2 linked regions of the Caenorhabditis elegans genome follow. The protein of the gene in region 2 purifies or fractionates together with the protein of the main gene of each other region. This does not show direct contact. Each region holds a gene or a part of one and is shown on either strand. Other genes may lie near its edges.

The links.
Region 1: the proteins of C47D12.2 (region 2) and AH9.6 fractionate together in Caenorhabditis elegans (co-fractionation; one large-scale study listed by BioGRID). This does not show direct contact.

The regions. Positions count from the first base shown.
Region 1 is NC_003284.9:2,261,535-2,271,489, forward strand, and holds AH9.6 (uncharacterized protein), read right to left. Parts: upstream 6,605-9,955; 5' UTR 6,512-6,604; coding exon 6,392-6,511; intron 4,307-6,391; coding exon 4,203-4,306; intron 4,159-4,202; coding exon 4,106-4,158; intron 4,053-4,105; coding exon 3,913-4,052; intron 2,809-3,912; coding exon 2,737-2,808; intron 2,688-2,736; coding exon 2,624-2,687; intron 2,563-2,623; coding exon 2,497-2,562; intron 2,451-2,496; coding exon 2,345-2,450; intron 1,991-2,344; coding exon 1,840-1,990; 3' UTR 1,632-1,839; downstream 1-1,631. Other genes in the region: putative G-protein coupled receptor AH9.4, read right to left, coding at 9,709-9,860.
Region 2 is NC_003280.10:11,673,233-11,680,789, forward strand, and holds C47D12.2 (Dymeclin), read left to right. Parts: upstream 1-3,073; 5' UTR 3,074-3,077; coding exon 3,078-3,220; intron 3,221-3,269; coding exon 3,270-3,416; intron 3,417-3,472; coding exon 3,473-3,681; intron 3,682-3,739; coding exon 3,740-3,827; intron 3,828-3,874; coding exon 3,875-4,116; intron 4,117-4,178; coding exon 4,179-4,666; intron 4,667-4,716; coding exon 4,717-4,833; intron 4,834-5,144; coding exon 5,145-5,336; intron 5,337-5,386; coding exon 5,387-5,830; 3' UTR 5,831-5,965; downstream 5,966-7,557. Other genes in the region: trr-1 (Transcription-associated protein 1), read right to left, coding at 1-1,087, 1,132-1,255, 1,301-1,599, 1,654-2,439, 2,487-2,624; sfxn-1.4 (Sidoreflexin), read right to left, coding at 5,969-6,335, 6,381-6,647, 7,409-7,557.

The sequences.
Region 1 (9,955 bases), on a different chromosome or scaffold from region 2:
AAATTGGCAAATCTTCAGTTTTTGGCAGTTTTTTACAAAAATTTAGCAATATCGAATGTTCGAATTCACACAGTGTTAGAATCAGGGGTGGGTGGCAAACGATTTTTCTAGCTAATTGGCAAATTGCCGGAATTGAAATTTCCGACAAGTCGGAAAATTGCCGGAATTGCCGAATACTTTCGGAAAGTTGTGGTCTCGCACATTTTTTTTTAGAAATTTCGGAATTTCAATTTTAAGCGGCAAAATTGTACGCATCCTGTGAATGTTCCTTCATCTATTTTGAGAAGTAAGCAAACATCTTCCGGCAAATCGGCAAACCGGCAATTTGCCCATTTGCCCAGTTTGCCGCTTACCCTGTTCTGAATATTTATTTTTAGAAACATAAATAGACCATAAAAATCAAAAAAAAAATTTTGAGAGATGACTTCCAAAACAATGACAAGCAGTAGTTAACACTTTTTGAAACAAATTGAAAAACTTTTTTGAAGTGTTTTGTTATGATACATAATTATTTTAACATCGATTATTTCCCCACTGACCGTACTTTATCTTTAAAAAACTATGAAAAACTTGAAAACTAAACTGAAAAGCACGTTTTTCAAATATATAGCGGCAGTAGACGTTGAGTTCGTGGCTTTTGTTCAGAATTATGAGGGAATATAAAATATTCACGTGAGAGAAAATATCCTCAATACATCTCTCAATGTTAAAGAAATCCACTAGATATGTGTGGTTTTACCATAAGCTTTTGCATGCTATCTTAACATAAAAATCTTTTCAAACGAAATATTTAAAATATTATTGCATTTCGAAAACTCACTTTCCATTTGTGAAATTGGCATGCGAAAAACAATGAGCGTTATCCGTGCACGTGTATTCAAATGCAGTATTGAAAACATCGGCTGGATACCGCTTACCGTAGTTGCAGCCGGGAAAGTAGTAACATTTTATGCTAATAAATGAGAAAAAACAGTGGAATTGATGAACAATAAACATTGATTCAATATTTTATCATTATCAATTTTATGTAGTGTCTTTTCTTCGAGCATGAAGAGGAAAAGTGGGAAAGATAAGAGTCTAGAGATGTTTTGATTCTTTGCGTAAAAGTAGGAATTATAGAGACTAGGTGAAAAATAAAAACAACATTGTTTGTTTTTGATAAGTGGTGAATAAATGTTTAAAGGTTTAATACTACTCCTATGGTGCTAAAATAACCAAATATCATATCATAGAACAACTTTTCAAAAAAATTAGAAATGTTTTATTTATTAACGAAGTGTAGCAATTACCCAGTTTTTGTCCCTTATGATTTTGGAAATCAACAAAAAAAACTTTCTACGATTTTCATATTTTAATTTTAATTTGGTTTTTTTTCTGTTAAAACATTCCATACGACATTCAAAAATGATGGTAACTTGCCAAAACGTTGACTAAAAATGTGAGTGGTTTATTATGATATTCGGCCGCTTTGGAATCATATAAGTGAATTTTGAGAAAATCCCCAGAAAAATTCCCCAATGGAGCTAGGCCCCTTTATATAGAAGATTAGTCAGCTCAAAATAGGCACCGAATATATTAAGTTTTGTTTATATAAACAAAGACGATTTTATTTTTATTATTCAAACTTTTCAAATTTGGAAAATATTCTTCACTTTATTTTGTTGAAAAAATAAACCTTAAAAAAATAAGAAATACAAGTTAAACAGTCAACTATTATTGATCGTTGACTCTAGCAGTGAAAATTTGAAAAAAAAAATCACCGTAAACCCGAATGAGAGAGATTGAAAACAATTACATAAAAATAAATGTACAAAAGTTTCAGATATGACACTACGAACATTAGAACATGAGATGTGTTTTGCTCTTTCCTGACGCAATCTTAATGGATCCACTTTTTTGCACTCCGATTTTCCTTCTCACCACGTACCACTCGACAAGAAGAGCAGTGATGACAAGTGCCAAGCAGACCAGAAATAGGTTTCGTGCCCACCTGAAATGATTGAAAATATATTTTCCATACCTATACCATACCTATACCATACCTATACCATACCTATACCATACCTATACCATACCTATACCATACCTATACCATACCTATACCATACCTATACCATACCTATACCATACCTATACCATACCTATACCATACCTATACCATACCTATAACATACCTTTGCCATACCTATAACATACCTTTGCCATACCTATAACATACCTTTGCCATACCTATACCACACCGATACCACACCGATACCACACCGATACCATACCTACACTATTCCAAGGCTGTTTTCCCAAACCATATCCCCTTCACAACCAAGAATCAGCTCCAATAACTTACATTGGAACGGAATGATCTCTCTGTTCACCGTTCAGCTCGTAATAATCTTTCAGTGCATATCCCACATCATCCACCAGATCCTCGATAACCTTTGCTAGTGGCCAGCCTTAAACAATACACCGTTTCTGGTTAGCATTCAGTTATGCGCGTACCTTGCACCAACGCATTGTTGACTTCACTTTGTATGTTTGGAAGTAACATTCGAAGACGATGTGAGCCTGGAATAATTGAGTTGATCGAAGTCATAAGTTTTGAGTTTTGCTCGAGTTTGAAATGTACCTGTGTGCAATCTCACGTATGGAATTTTTCTGGCGTCATTCACAACTCCATCGATTACAACAAGCTGGAAAACATATTTGGAAGGAGTGAATGGATAGAATGGCATCACTTACCGCTAGCAAATTTGTCTTGGTGCAAGATTCTCCGACACCAAACCATCGCTCATATACTTTCCACGAATAAACCTGAAATATACAATTTTTGATTTCAGCCAAGTACACACGAATATCACAGCTTCTGCATCTTATTATCATTGAAGCTTTTTTTAAAACCAGTCCGCAATAATTTGCCATACCGTATTTTTTCGATTAGAATAACTGCAATGCTATTTCACCAAAATATTTTTCCTCATAAAATTGATCTGTAAATTTGCCGTTGAAGGAGAACTAAATTGTTGCTATATTTTAAAAGTGTTGCTATATTTTAAAAGTGTTGCTATATTTTAAATAACAAGTTTTTCTAAACAAATCAAATATCAATATGAGACTTATCAAAAGCTTCCCAAAAACTTTTCAAAACGGTTAAAAATGTTTTCAAACAATTGTGCTAATGCTAGCTGAAACCCTAAATTTTGCAAAATTTCCCATGTCACAGCTGTCGGAAATTAATGTTTATTTTATTATAATCCTTAAAATTTACCTAAATTAATATATAAAGACCGAATTATACAGTTAATAAAAATAAAATCTTATGAAATTCAATGTGCAATCTTTATCACATCTAGGTGCCACAAAAAAGTTTGCAAAATTTAAGATTGCATCTAAAATTAGCTGATTTTTTTTTTAAATCTTTAACCGTCAGAAAAAATTATAAATTAAAAAAAAAAGTTTTATAACGAAGTTAGTTCATTTGAGCACATTTTGAATCTATACATTAAGTCTATACATGGGGATTTACTGAGATATCTGAATATTTTTATTTTGTGAACTCCATTCTTCAAAAATAGATTTTATTGGAAACCGTTTAGCACTGCATTCAATTTCGTTTTTGTATCTCACGCAGGAAGTATTTTTCTCAGAAAACGTTTTGCTACATTCTGAGAGTCCCTCAACTCAAGATTCATCATTTCTAGCACGTGTTGAAGATGTGCCCACTTTGCGCACTGCAACCACTTCACCCAAAAAAAGAGCGATACTTGCGTGCAATGTGGAAAACGTGATAGAAAATTGGCTCATAATGATTCAGTTCCCCTTCCTGTCCCCACTTTGCAAGCTCAACTTTGGACTAACCCCCTCCCCCCTCCCGCTAAAAACGTATACTTTTTGAAACCTCCGACCACACCGACCTACCCGTAGGAACTTCCGCACATTTCCGACAATTCCAGTCACCATGTCCCCGTCAATCTGGTCGCATTCGTTATCAAAGAGACAAGCGTACTCGGTTTTTTTCATGACATCATTTGCAGAAGCAGGCTGCTCCAGTTGTTTTGCTGGAAAAAATATAATTTCGTTGGACAAGAGAGAGGCAGGTGTATTTCTCAACTGATTATGACGGCAAGTGTTGAAGTATTGCCGTTTGTGAAGAGTGATCGATACCTGAAAATTGGGTGTTAAGATTGAAAAAAAAGAATTGTTTATACTTATTATAAGCTTTTTCAATTCCATAAACATTTGTGTAAGCCAGTTGGTGATGAAGATCGCACACAAACGGAAGTCGAGGAATTGTGTAGCAAACCGATCGGTGCTGAAATTAGGTAGATTTGAATGAGTTGCAGAAACAGAATATATATTTAATTTTTGAAATCAAAATTAAAAATTCGCGAACTGTTGAATCAAATATAGATTTGTCCTTTGTCATCTGAGAAAATAAATTCCAATTTATTTTCCTATAGTCTTGTAGATACCGTATATTTTCAATTCATGCGGCAACCCTTTTTTTATTGCAATTTTTTTTTGTGAAACCTCATTAGTTTCGACATTTTGGAAACTTTTTCTGAACATGTTTTAATGATTCTTTGTTAATTCACAAAATGAATTTAAAAAATTAAATATTAAATTCAGGCCTAAAATATGAGTTTTTGTGACTGAGAGCTAGTGATCTACAACTGAAAAGAGGTTTTTGAAAATCAGTACTGCAGTCTCTAATAGTGCTGCATTCAAAAAGGACCTTAAAATTAGTGACGGTACTCATTTTAATACCGTGAAAATTAACCGCGGCATAGGCCGATAAAAAAGAGCCCCGTTGCGATTTTAATAGGGAAAATACGGAAAATTGAATAATTTTTCCAAAGGTCACTGTTGTAACTTACTACTGCAAATTTATTTGCTTTGTAACGTTCTTAATATGTAGTAGAAATTTACAATTTCACCCCCGTGACCTTCCTCACATATGCATAACATATTCTGTCGGGTTTTGAGTACGTAGTGACTTTTTTCATGAATATATGCTTGACAAGTGTTTCACATGGCTCGCATCAACTAAAATGGATGTGGTGGTCGTTTCTTTCCTTTTCACAATAAAATATGATGGAAGACGTCAAATAAATACATGTGTATGTATATATCATTTTTTTTGAGTCGCGTGCCTTTTTGTCTGCATAACTTTTTTTTTTGGTCTACAGAGATGAGCTGACAATTTGGAGGAGAATCAAAATTACTCCTATGCTAAAAATACATTTCAGGTTTTTTCTATAAATCTCAAGAAGTTTAGGGAGTTTGCAAAATGTTTTTGACAATTTTGACAATTGTTGATTTCAGATCAAACTCTTCTTTTCACAAAGTTTTTCGGCTCCTCAGTCCTTCAAAAAAAAATTGTGAACTTTTTGCGACACAATAAACGAGGGTCCTTGAGCAACCTGGAAGGAAGCATAAGCAGAAGAAAGGCAGGGAGGGGGGACACAATTTCTTTTTTGTTGTCGCCGAGGAATTTCCTTTTCTTCTATTTGTGGTTTTCAATACAAAAGAGAAAAGGAGTTTGAGTTTTTCGGCTTTCACAAATTGCGTTTACGGGGCGGCGAGACGATGTTGTTCACCTTGTGGTTTCCAAAGGAGACCACAAGAATGACTAATGTCGTTCACGCAGTTCACCGGGTAGGTCTTGACTTTAAAATTTGAGTGTCAAATTTTGAATCACAAGTCAAAAGTTCGAAACTATGGGGTTTCCTCCCTCTAGTGCACAATTAAATCTCTGAAAAAAAAACTCGAAATTCGTCATTCTTCCGGATATCGCCAGAGTAAATCTAAGACTACGGACACAAAAAAAACAACGATTGTCTTTCACTTGATTGGTTTCATAAGGATGAGCAAATGCTCAATATGCAAATAGAAAAAAAAAGCACGACGTCTTCGTCTTTTCCACGCGGCTTTCCTTTCTCATCCTTCTTCCTCGACGAGTTTTGGAGGGCCGTTCAACTTTTCGCAAAGTATATAGAAAAAGGAGAAAGGAGGAGAAGTATAGTGGAAAAAAGTAGGATACGGCGCAGAAAAAATATATATATATATATATAAACAATAAAGCAATACTGAGCAGCAAAAAATAATTGGGTTTCTAATTGCAAGGTTTACGAACGCTTGAGTGATTTGTGGGGCACATGGAACGAAGGCTACCCCTCCTAGGGCAAAACAGAGGGAATGTATAATTTATCTTATTTTTGCATTTTCAGAACGAACAATGCTAATTATTTTTCCTTTTTTCTCATTCTTCCTACCTCAGTTTTTCTAGAAAAGAAATTGGAAATTTGAAGCTAAAGCTTTTTTGGTTCTTAAAAGTTGAGGGGAGATTTTAAAGTTCAGCAAATAAAAAAATAAAACATGAAAAAGTTGAACTCACAAAACTAGGTTCGGTGATCGGAGATGGGAAGTTGCATGGTGAAAATATGGGAGGCACAGGAATCTGACCCCCTTGGGCATAGACCGTCAGAAGGCAGATGACGAGTAGCTTGCGCATCATATTGCCATGAGAGTTAGGACATTGTGTGCTCCACACCAATAATATGCTCTGCCAAAAACGACGACGGCGGCGGCGACCGACTGATTCACCAAAACCCGAGGAGTTGCTCTCTGTGTGCTTCGCCCGACGACGGTCGTGTCCGAAGCGCGCGCAGGCAGCGCCGCCAATGCGCTCCGCCCACTTTGGCGCCGACTGAGGAGGCTAGGAGACATTGGGCAATAGGAAAACGGGGGGAAGCTTATAGTAGTGAACACTGGACTTGAAAACATTTCTCCCAAGGGGTACGCCACACACTAAGAGAATTCACGATTAACGTACGTACAAACATTCTATTTCGATACTTGTTCTTGCTCTTGTCCTTGTTCTCAGTGACAAGTCCAGGTTGCTTAATTGAGTTTTTTTCTTAGAGAAGTGCGTCTTTCCTTTCCTTTTTTCATTTTCTTCATACTTCGCACTTTTTATAGCTAGAGACCAAGTTTTTGGAAGTGATGTATTGGGTAGTAATAAAGTTGAGTACTCATGAATATTAATGGAAAGACGAGTTAATGATTGTAAATATTTCTGACGCGAAAACACAAGATCTTTCAGAAAAGGAGTGATCTATCTTCCAAATACAGGGATTCAGTTTTTTTGGTACCTGTCTCAGAAATTTTTTTCAATTTCCACTCACCTGATAATTTAATCAAAATGGGAAATTGATTTGCATTCTCAGGTTAAGAAAACACTAATACTAAAACTAAAAAATTACGTTGAATTTTAAAAATGATAAACATATTTGGTGCAGGTTTACCTTGAAAGTACCTACATTCATTCAGTATCACAAATAAATTCTCGAGGTATTCCATTCAAAATTTGTAGAAGTCAAGATCCCAAAGTAGTGTTTCAAATATTTACTCAAATTTCACCCCATATACTGAGAATGTTGAATTATTCATTACTGTGTACTCTCTCTCTCTCACGCCTAGAATTTCAGAAATGTTTCTGCAGTTTTTTGGACAAAACCGAATCAAATTTTATCTGGTCCATTTATTTTTTTCCATGCTTCAATTTTATTTTAAAAAGTGAAAACTCACTTGGCAACACACTATACGTCATCTCATCTAAAGCTTCATTTGAGACGGGCGTTGCCTAGTCTTCCCGAGGGAGATCTCAAGAAAATGTGCTCTCTGAAAGATTGCAACTCGCGCTGCTGTTGAATTTCATAACTCACGGGGAGGGCACCTGCAAATAAAGTGCATTTGAAAAAGCACGCTTGTGATTAGGAACCAGATGTAGTTGTGCTCTCTTCCAATTCTCAAGTGTAATTCAATCCAGCACGGAGGTAAAGGTACTCCATGTCATTTTAGAGCACTCTTCGCTTTTATTGGCGTGTCTCTGATGCACTTACTACAAACCACAAAGCACCAACGAAATTCAAGAGGGGACGGAAGTCAGGCTCGTACGCGTCTTCAAAAAAAAAATTCCGCAACGTAGTCTGTTCATCTCTTTTACACATACTCATTTTGACTCGTTCTAACTAAATCCAACGAAACACTTTTAGCTCCAGGTTTTTAGAAGCTTTGCAAGACAAAAAAAACCGGGCCGAAAAATAATTTCCTGTAAAGTCATTGTGCAGTCGGAGACTCCTAAAAGAAGGAAAGCAATTTTCCACAAGAAAACGACAAAGAAGCCACATTCACAATGAACCGAACCATTTATTGCTTTTGTAAGTACCAACTAATGTTAACTCGATATTAACTTTACGATAACACAGCAGTAGTGGAAAACAGGAAATTTGGAGGAAATTTCCGAAGAAAATTTTTTGAAGGGAATAAGCAGAGGTAAACGTTTTTCGTTCAATGACTTTATTATTTCAAACGACGGGAACACATTTTCCATCATCTTCGGAGCAAAGAGGGTTATTAAAATGCACGTTTTGTTACAATAAAATAAATAATTCAAAATGAAACTCGGAAAATGTTTCATTCATTGTGATTTTGAGGATAAATTTTGTAAAGTTATAAAACATTGAATTTTTCCGTTTAATTAAAGGCGGAGTGCGGAAGTATCATGGTACAACTTTTCAGAACAAAAATTGGAGAATTTTTATTTTAAGTCAAAAAATGGCGAAAACGGAGTTTGCGCCACTTCTCGAAATATCTAAAGCACTGGCGCATGTTTGAACCCCAACATTGCTAAAATATAAGAGTTTGGAACATAATTCAAACTGGAAGAAAAATACGTTTTTTTTATTAGCGATTTCCACAGATATATAAACATTTCACCGCTATCTAACTTGAAATAAAAAATGTTGCCAAAAATTTGGAAAAGTTTTATTATGCATGTTTGGCTATTTGAATACCATAGGAATGGTTTTTTAAAATATTTTTCCACTGGACGTACTTCACCTATAACTAAAACTTGTCGTTGCTTTGGTATCACACTATATTTGTGAAAAAATGTAAAAAATGTTTCATGTTTCATTGCAAACCATGTATTTTTTCTGTGAATCTTTGTTTGTAAAATTTCAAAAATTTCAGTTTCTTTATCAAATAAGCAATATTCGAAGAATGCTGTAGATCATAGCGTTGTTTCACAAAAAGGAACCTAAAAGCCGTCATAGTTTGCAATGTATTTTTTCTTTCAGATTATGTTCTCAATAAACTTTTTTTTTTGAATTTTAGTTCTCGAAAATAATCAGTACCAGTGTATTACAAAAGTTTCAATTTACATCAGCAAACTTTCGAACAATTTCCTAGAATTCTGTTTTTGGCATAAAAAGTTTGCCGTGCTTACTATTAGTAAGCAATTTATCAAGCTAGGCGACTCTATTTTATTTCTGAATTGATCTCAATTAATTACTCATCTAAAAATATTCCAACTGCACGATTTGAAGATGGATGAGTATGAATTGAAAACTCTTTATAGTCATGTACACCTTGCATGTTGACGGAAGCTATCAGAAACCAGCAAATAATTTATTTTTATAACACATTATTAATTTGTTTTCAATTATTTTTTTTGCACAATTTTTGTTTGGCTTACACGTTGAAAATGCGGAATTTGAGTGATTTGAGAAAGGAGTTCAGTAGATCAATTGAGATCAAAAATACAACAAAAACAATGAGAAATGCTGAGAGAACATGTAATAGTTTGACAAACAGGTTTGAAGAGAAGCAAGTATCCGTACCTAGTGCTAAATTTTATGAGATGTAAAATTAAGCTTCGTCATCTGAAATACATCTCGAAACATGACGATTGCTGCTTGAAATTACAGTATTCCTTGGAGATCCGTTGGTTTCATAAATTGATGTTGCCAAGTAGAAAGCATTACACGCGAACTGCGAGAAGTACATCATTTGTGCGATTGCTGAAAAAATTTTGAAAATCACTCTGTTATGACAGGGCTTATTTTTAATAACGTCTACACTGCTCCGTTCTTACGAGTACTGATCCCATGATTTA
Region 2 (7,557 bases):
GCAGTAACTGCAGGAACTTTCCATACAAAATATCCTGAGCGCCACCACCAATACTGCGGAACAATGCACGAAGCAAAAGGAAATAGTTGAGAGGTTCACGAGCTGTTAATGCCAAGACAGTTGACTGTTTGAGAATCTCTGGGAGGTATGAAGTGAGCATTTTATCTCCATGAAGCCCAGAGCCATTGGCTCCGATGGCGGAGAAGATAATTTTGAAGAGCTTCACATATAGCATCGTCTTGTCATTGCTAACTTCCAGCAATTTCATTCGAGACATCAAGAATGAAAGCATCGTAGATGCGAAGAATGGCACTTCATTTCGAACCAAGAAGGTGTTCACCATCAATTGCAATGGATAGTTCCGATTGTAAATTCTTTCAATCAAGAAATCCATATACTTTTCGAAGATTTCCCGGAATATCGCATGGTCGATTGTTGTAAAAACGTTTGCCAACGACTCCAGAGCATCTTTCTCATCTTTTGTCCGCATTGAAGAATGCATTTGTGGTTGATTTCGAGTTGTTGGAAGCACGAATACATCCATACACATTACACCATATCGTAGAAGACGTTCGAATAAATCTCGCTCCTTCGAACAATGATACATATCCTGTGATGGCCGGGCGATTCTCAATTGTCCTGTCACGAATTTACACGTATGCATTATATACTTCACAAGATTTCGAGCTTCAACAATTGCCAATGGAGGAGGTGTCATCGTTGACATGGCGGTTAAAATCGCTTCGGGAGACGTTTTCTTTCCCTCTTTTGTTGGCGGAGGAAGCTTGTTCGGATCTCCACCACTCTCATCTGCATCTTCCGACGTGGATGGTTCTGATGCCAGGAATTCCAGCTCTTCAACTGAATCAATGGAGAGCCGACGGATTCTTCGTTTCGGTACTCCTCGTATAGTGTCCTTTGGGATATTCATTCCAGGTTTCTCGGCGTCTCTCTCATAACTTTTGTATTCGTAGTCTATTTCGGTTCCGTATTGTTGGAAGAGAATAGGCATGTGATAGACTGCAAGAGTTTTGAGCTTGGCCACGTGCGACTCCAGGATTTCAATGAGCAGATCACGAGTCTGAAACTTATTTCGAAGTGAGATACGATTATTGATAGAATAAGTCTTACGGTATCATGTGAATCCATTTTGCACAGAGATTCGGCCAGTGAGTTGAGCAGCCGAGCAGACATAATCTGGACTTGAGAAGAGTTGTTAGGATCGTGAAGAGTGCGACAGAATACGAAAATCACGCTGAAATTTCAACATTTTTCATCAGAAAGTCTTATTCAAACTTACTGTGTGATCATTTCATAGTCTATAGAATTTCGCATGTGATGCAACAGATCTGCTAGCATTTGATACATGAAAACTCGCAAATGCTCAATCGCAGTGAATCCTGTTCCCAGAACAACCTCCTCAGCGATGAGTCGAGGTAGCATTGGAAAGAATTTCGACTTCATTTCTCCAGATGTGAAATACTTCAAAGCCATCAGAACTTCTCGTCGGACACTTATCAGATCAGCCGGGCACCGCTCGAGCATCTGCATTGTTCCCGACACTAGAAGCGGTCCATTTTGCATGATAAGATCCATAAACTGAAAAATAAAAATCAGGATTACAGAAAAAAAACTTGAAAAAACGAAACTTACCGCTGGAATCTTAGCCATAATGTTGACGAATGACAGGAATCGGGACTGTGCACTGACAAAATCATCGGTTATTATTTGATTTGTTTTGAGTTTATCCTCGTCTGGAACTCTGACATTTAGAAAATCAAGACCAAGCCTCATGAAATCAAGCGCTTCGGTTTGGATCGCTGTTTTGAAATGTTGATAGAAGAAAATCACGAGATACGGAACCTCCAGGAGCACCTTCGTTGACTGATGAGCTGATGGAATCATATTGTATTTTAATGGCGGTTTTCCTTCCGTTCCGTTGAGAAGAACCGTTTGTTGATAGTAGCAAGTCTTCAAATATTCAGTGATGACTTGCTCGTCGGAGCTAGTTGACGGTGGAGCTTTATGCTCTTTTATGTTGAACATATCACCAGCTCGACCACTCGCCGTCAGATCAATGACCATTGTTTTGAAGGAGACCATTATCTGTGAAACCTCTCCGCAATATTGCATTTTGCCGGTACTTCTCCCTTGATCGGTGACAATTTTGATAGCCAAATTGGCATTCTCCTCATTTTCCACGGTGATTAGCCTCATCATCTGCTTGATAATTTCTTTGCTATGATGTTTCATGGCTTCTACGTTCGAAAGTCGAAGAATGATTTCAAGCATTAACTTTCGAAGCTGTTGTGTATTGTTTTCAGCAATGAACTGTGGACTTGTGTTGCAGAAAACTTGTAGGAACGAGAGAATGAGCCTCTCCACGACTTTCTCGTGCGAACTTAGTGTGAAATGATTTTCGATTGTGCTCCAAATCTCCTGCAACCGAACAAATTGATTACTTAACACGAATTATTGAAACTAACTTGTAACATTTTCAATTTGACATCATCTCTTTGTGAATTATCGGCAAGATTTTGAATTCTCGTTTCCAGCTCTGTTAGGTGATTACTCCGATCGGACTGCACAGACCGATAGCCTGGAGAAGCCATAGCCGGATCCATTTTGTATTAGTGACCAGCACTGAAGATACTTCTAAACTATTGAGCTTTGTGCAACTATTTGAATAATTTATCTGAAACAAGATTTACGTGTTTAATTCACTAAATTGCGAAGGAAACAGATTATAAAATGAAGAATGGAGTAGAATGAACTATTAGGAAGTGAATGCAACAAGAAAAATCAGTCAGAAAACGCTGAAATTATCGGAAAACTGACATTATTTCAGCAGAAACAAAGAAACAACTAAATTTCAAACGAGAGCGAATTGTCTGCTGACGCGTATGTGTGTGTGTTGGCGCACTCGCGGTTGTTGGCGCATTTCACGTGCATTGCCACGAACGAGAGAGGAGATTTTATTGAATAAAAAAGATGTGACCTGATTAATATTTGACCCTTTCTTGACTTTTTCTTTTATTTTTATGATTATTAACAGTGTAATAACAAATTTCAGACACATGGGATCAGTTATAACCAAGGAAACGGTCTTACAGGAGAATATTTATCTGAAGAAACTCAGCGGTTTGGAACCTGTCGACGATTATGACCCATTTTGGAACAAACTTCTCTCTTTCAGTCTCAAGTTTGATGATGACGACGAGTAAGGATTAAAATTAGGCAAAAGCTTTAAAAATGTTATAATCGTTTAGAGACACCCGAATCGCTTTGGAATCTGCTTTAGATGATCATCTTCAATGTCTAATGTACAATACACAAACAACAGGAAATTTCGCTGCATTTATTCGACTTTTCCTTCGCAGAGCCACAGAACTAAAAACATCAGAACAATGCGAAAAGTGAGTTGGAAAAAAAAATCATCATTATATTTAATTAAAGCTTTTTCTTATTTCAGTAAAATCTACTTATGGCAAACATCAAACGCTCTTCTCATTCTTCGTTACATCGCCAGATTTTTAACTCAACGTATGACGGAAAAAGAATTCGTGAGGATTTTCGCCAAAAGTCATGAGAGTACGGAAACCGAATCGTCGTCTACATCTTCCTCGTCGGATGAGGAAGATGATGACGAACAGAAATCAGAAAACGAAAATAATAATGGAGGTAAATAAGCTTCATTTAAAAAAAAAATTCAATAATAATCAAATTCTGACGTTTTCAGCGACAAAATATATCCCGATAGTTTTTCAAAACACTGCAGAAGAGTTCACGTATGAGCTGGTTTCGATTTTAATCAATATTTCTGTAAAGTGAGTTTTAAATTATTTTTTAAAAAATTGAATTAAAATAATTTCAGCGAAACAACATTGGCAATCCATGTCGAAGCAGTTCGATGTCTCCTAACTCTCCTGAGCTCTCAACTATATAATGAATCAATTGTGAATACTTCAATTGTCTTCAGATTCTTTATTGATGGATCATGTGCGAAACACGCAGCTTCGCTCACTAAAACTCTTCTTCTCAATTATTTGATCCACAATTCAGAGTATCACATGACTGTACAAAAGCCACAAGAGAGCATTGTTTTTGGATTAGCTTGTATGTCACTGAAAATCTTTTTTAATTCTTTATTAAATTAAAAAAAAAACACGATTTTTAAGCATCAATGTGGTCAATGGTCCAAATGGCAACTGGTATCGACTCCGCAGAGGAAGAAAAGAAGCCCCCACTTACTCTTGGAAACTTAAGCATCCTGCTTCTCCTCAATCTTTCATGCCATCAACCTCTCAATTCATCCAATCCATTCAAAGAAACCCTTGCTCTCTTCCAAAATGCTCAAGAAGTATCCACATTGCCTACTCAGATTGTGTCGTTCAAAATCGATTATAATGGATTATACGAAAGATTGTGTGCTACCGCTGGCCAGGAACCTCCGATGCTTCTACTCTACATGCTTCTACAGGCGAACTCGGGATTCCGGAACTATGTGTTGTCTCGGATCAACCTCGAGAATCTAGTTGTTCCTGTTCTTCGAATTCTTCACGACGGTGTCGCGACATCGAACAACTCTCACCATGTTTATCTTGCATTGATTGTCGCCTTGATTCTCAGTGAAGATGATATTTTCTGCAAGATTATACACGAGACGGTGAGTTTTCACTAGAAATGCTAAGATTATATTGAAGTATATATTTGCAGATGATCAAGGATCTCGGCTGGCTGGACAGTGATTTCAGTGTCCGCGAGATCTCTCTCGGAGGTTTGACAACTCTTGTGCTGGTTCGAGCAATTCAGAAGAATGCTTTGAAAACTAGAGTTAGTTGTTGCTACCAAGGGTGTCATTTTTCAATTTTTTTTTCGATTTTTTGACGTTTTTCAGTGGAAATCGAAAAATCGAAAAAAATGTTCAGAAAATTAACCATAAAATATGATTTTTTATCTAATTTTGTTTATATTGATAAGAACAAACATAAAAGTTTCATCTAAAAAGAAGAATAATGGCCAATATATCAAGCTCCTTTTTTAAAAATCGAAAAATCGAACAATTGAAAAAGCGAAAAACCGACAGTTGCTACCTGAAGATACAAAATTTTGTTTTTTTTTAAACCAAACTCAAATTTTTCCAGGACCGATATCTTCACACAAACTGCTTAGCTGCTCTTGCAAACATGTCAGCTTTCTTCAAAAATCTTGCTCCAATTGTTTGCCAAAGACTCATATCACTGCTTGATCTTCTAACAAAACGGCATGCTAAAATGGTGGATCATATGAGAGTCAGCAGTCAGAATGATGTTGCAGATGGACAGCCGATCAATTTCGTAAGTTCATATTTTGTTCAAAAATCCAAATAAAAAGTATAATATTTCAGCATGACGACATTACTGCTCTCGAAGAAGGAATTCGAACTCTCCTTGAGATCATCAACAGTGCACTTTGTGGAGGACTCCGTCACAATTCACACCTCATCTACAACCTTCTCTACCATCGTGCTCTATTCGATGCATACGTTCAGCACCCAATGTTCCAAGATCTTCTTGTTAACATCGCAGCAGTAATCTCTCACTTCTCGTCGAAAGTGATACATGTCCCAGCAGGCGATGGATCCACAATGCTGCAAATAATCGAGAAGGAGGCAAACATATGGCCAACCGATCGACTCGCAAAGTTCCCAGAATTGAAGTTCCGATACGTGGAGGATGAGTACACTGTCGATTTCTTTGTGCCATACGTCTGGAGGCTATCTGTTCAACATTCGGGAATCTACTTCGAAACATCAAGAATCAAAATATTTAACGCCCAAAGTATTGCTTGACCCTCAAATTGTTTTATTAATCGGTAAGCATAATGCCGGTAGTATTTATTCGGACGCAAATATTGATAAGTGGCCTTATTCATGTGATGATCATAAGATACCATAATAATGTACAATAAATCTATTATCTAATTGAGTTCAGAGTCCTTTGTTGTAGTACACCACTTTCGGGGGATTTGCCAACTTGTTGATATGATCTTGAAGTGAAAGCTCCAGCTTATCAACTTGAATTGAGCTTTTCTGTGGGAAAAGAGCACAACAAATTGGTGTGGAAAAAGCCAACATGAATCCACAGAGCAATGTTTGAAGAGGTGCAGCCATTCCAGGTGTATACCATGCAGTTTTGGAAAGTTGCTCCAAGATCACTGGTCCTAGAACCATATTTGGAACCGCCATTCCAACACGACTGAGCACAACTTGTGGAATAGCATGACCAGGTGCAACTGTTGAAAATCCCATTGTTCTACCTTCACCATCTTCAACTGGAATTCCATTTGTAAATTCTCTGAAACAAATAAATTATTAAAATGTCTTTTAATCTGATTCTCACTTGTTTCTCATCATAGGAATATTAATTGCATTGGCGAATGCAATAGCAGCAAATGGAACGAGACGAGCAAGAATCGGCGGAGCATTTTTCCACTTTTTGAGCATATAATTGAATGAAAGAGCACAAGAAAGAGCTCCAGTAGTGGCACCGCAATACGAAAGAATCAAGGTTCTATCATCCTGTTTGTGGGTTCCGCTCCGGTTTGTGTAGTTGACGATGGCGTTGAATGATTGATTGACCCAATGGAAGAAGATCACATGGGGAAGTCTGGAAATATAATTATTTGTTTAATTGCTTGTGAAATAATGCAATTTTTGTAGCCCCGGCACGGAATTCTGGCTTCCCTCATAAATCGAAATGGCAGAGTTTGCCGAACTAGGCCATTTTGGGTCAGAGAGATTTTGTGTAGATTTACGGCGCGTTGCGTGTCGCGTCGCGGCTCGTTTTTAGTTGTAAAACTGCTGTATTTGTCCGTGTGGAGTACACGAAACTTTTCCACGCGCTGTCCGGCGGGCGATTGTCAATGGGGTGCGAAAATTCAATAAGAAAGGCCAGAACCCCGTGCCCCGGGTCTTGAAACGAGCGAAACTTTGTCAGCTACCGTACTCACAAGTATTTCGCAACTTCCACTTGATTTGTTTTAAAGTTTCCAACGTTGTCCAGCAAAAAATATTATTTTTAGTTATCAAAACTACATAGAATATCATAAGCACAAAATTTTGGGATTCGTGCGCCAAAAATACGCAACCCGGTAACGACAAGAAACGTTTTTGTGAAATACAACAGTGTGTGCGCCTTTAAAGAGTACTGTAGCTTCGAATGTCTGTTGTTGCGGAGTTTTAATATACAGTACTCCTTGACAGCTTCCACCCTTTCTCATTAAACAAAAACAATTATCGTGCCGAGTCCAGGTACCGTATTTTTGGTGCAAACATCGGAAAATTCTGCTTCCGGGTAAGAAGAGTTGCGGGTACGGTAGCAGACAATTTGTGTTCGTGTCATTCGTGCCAGGACCCGCCAAAACGCACTTCTGATAAAAAGTGAGCATTCCTCCGGTAATAAGCATATTACACGGCACTTGAGCACTCATTCTGCCCAAAATGAACATCTTCTCTCCGGTGTCGGGATGGAATGCCGAGTCGTAGAGTGTCTTTGCCTTCCACAACTCATCCACAGT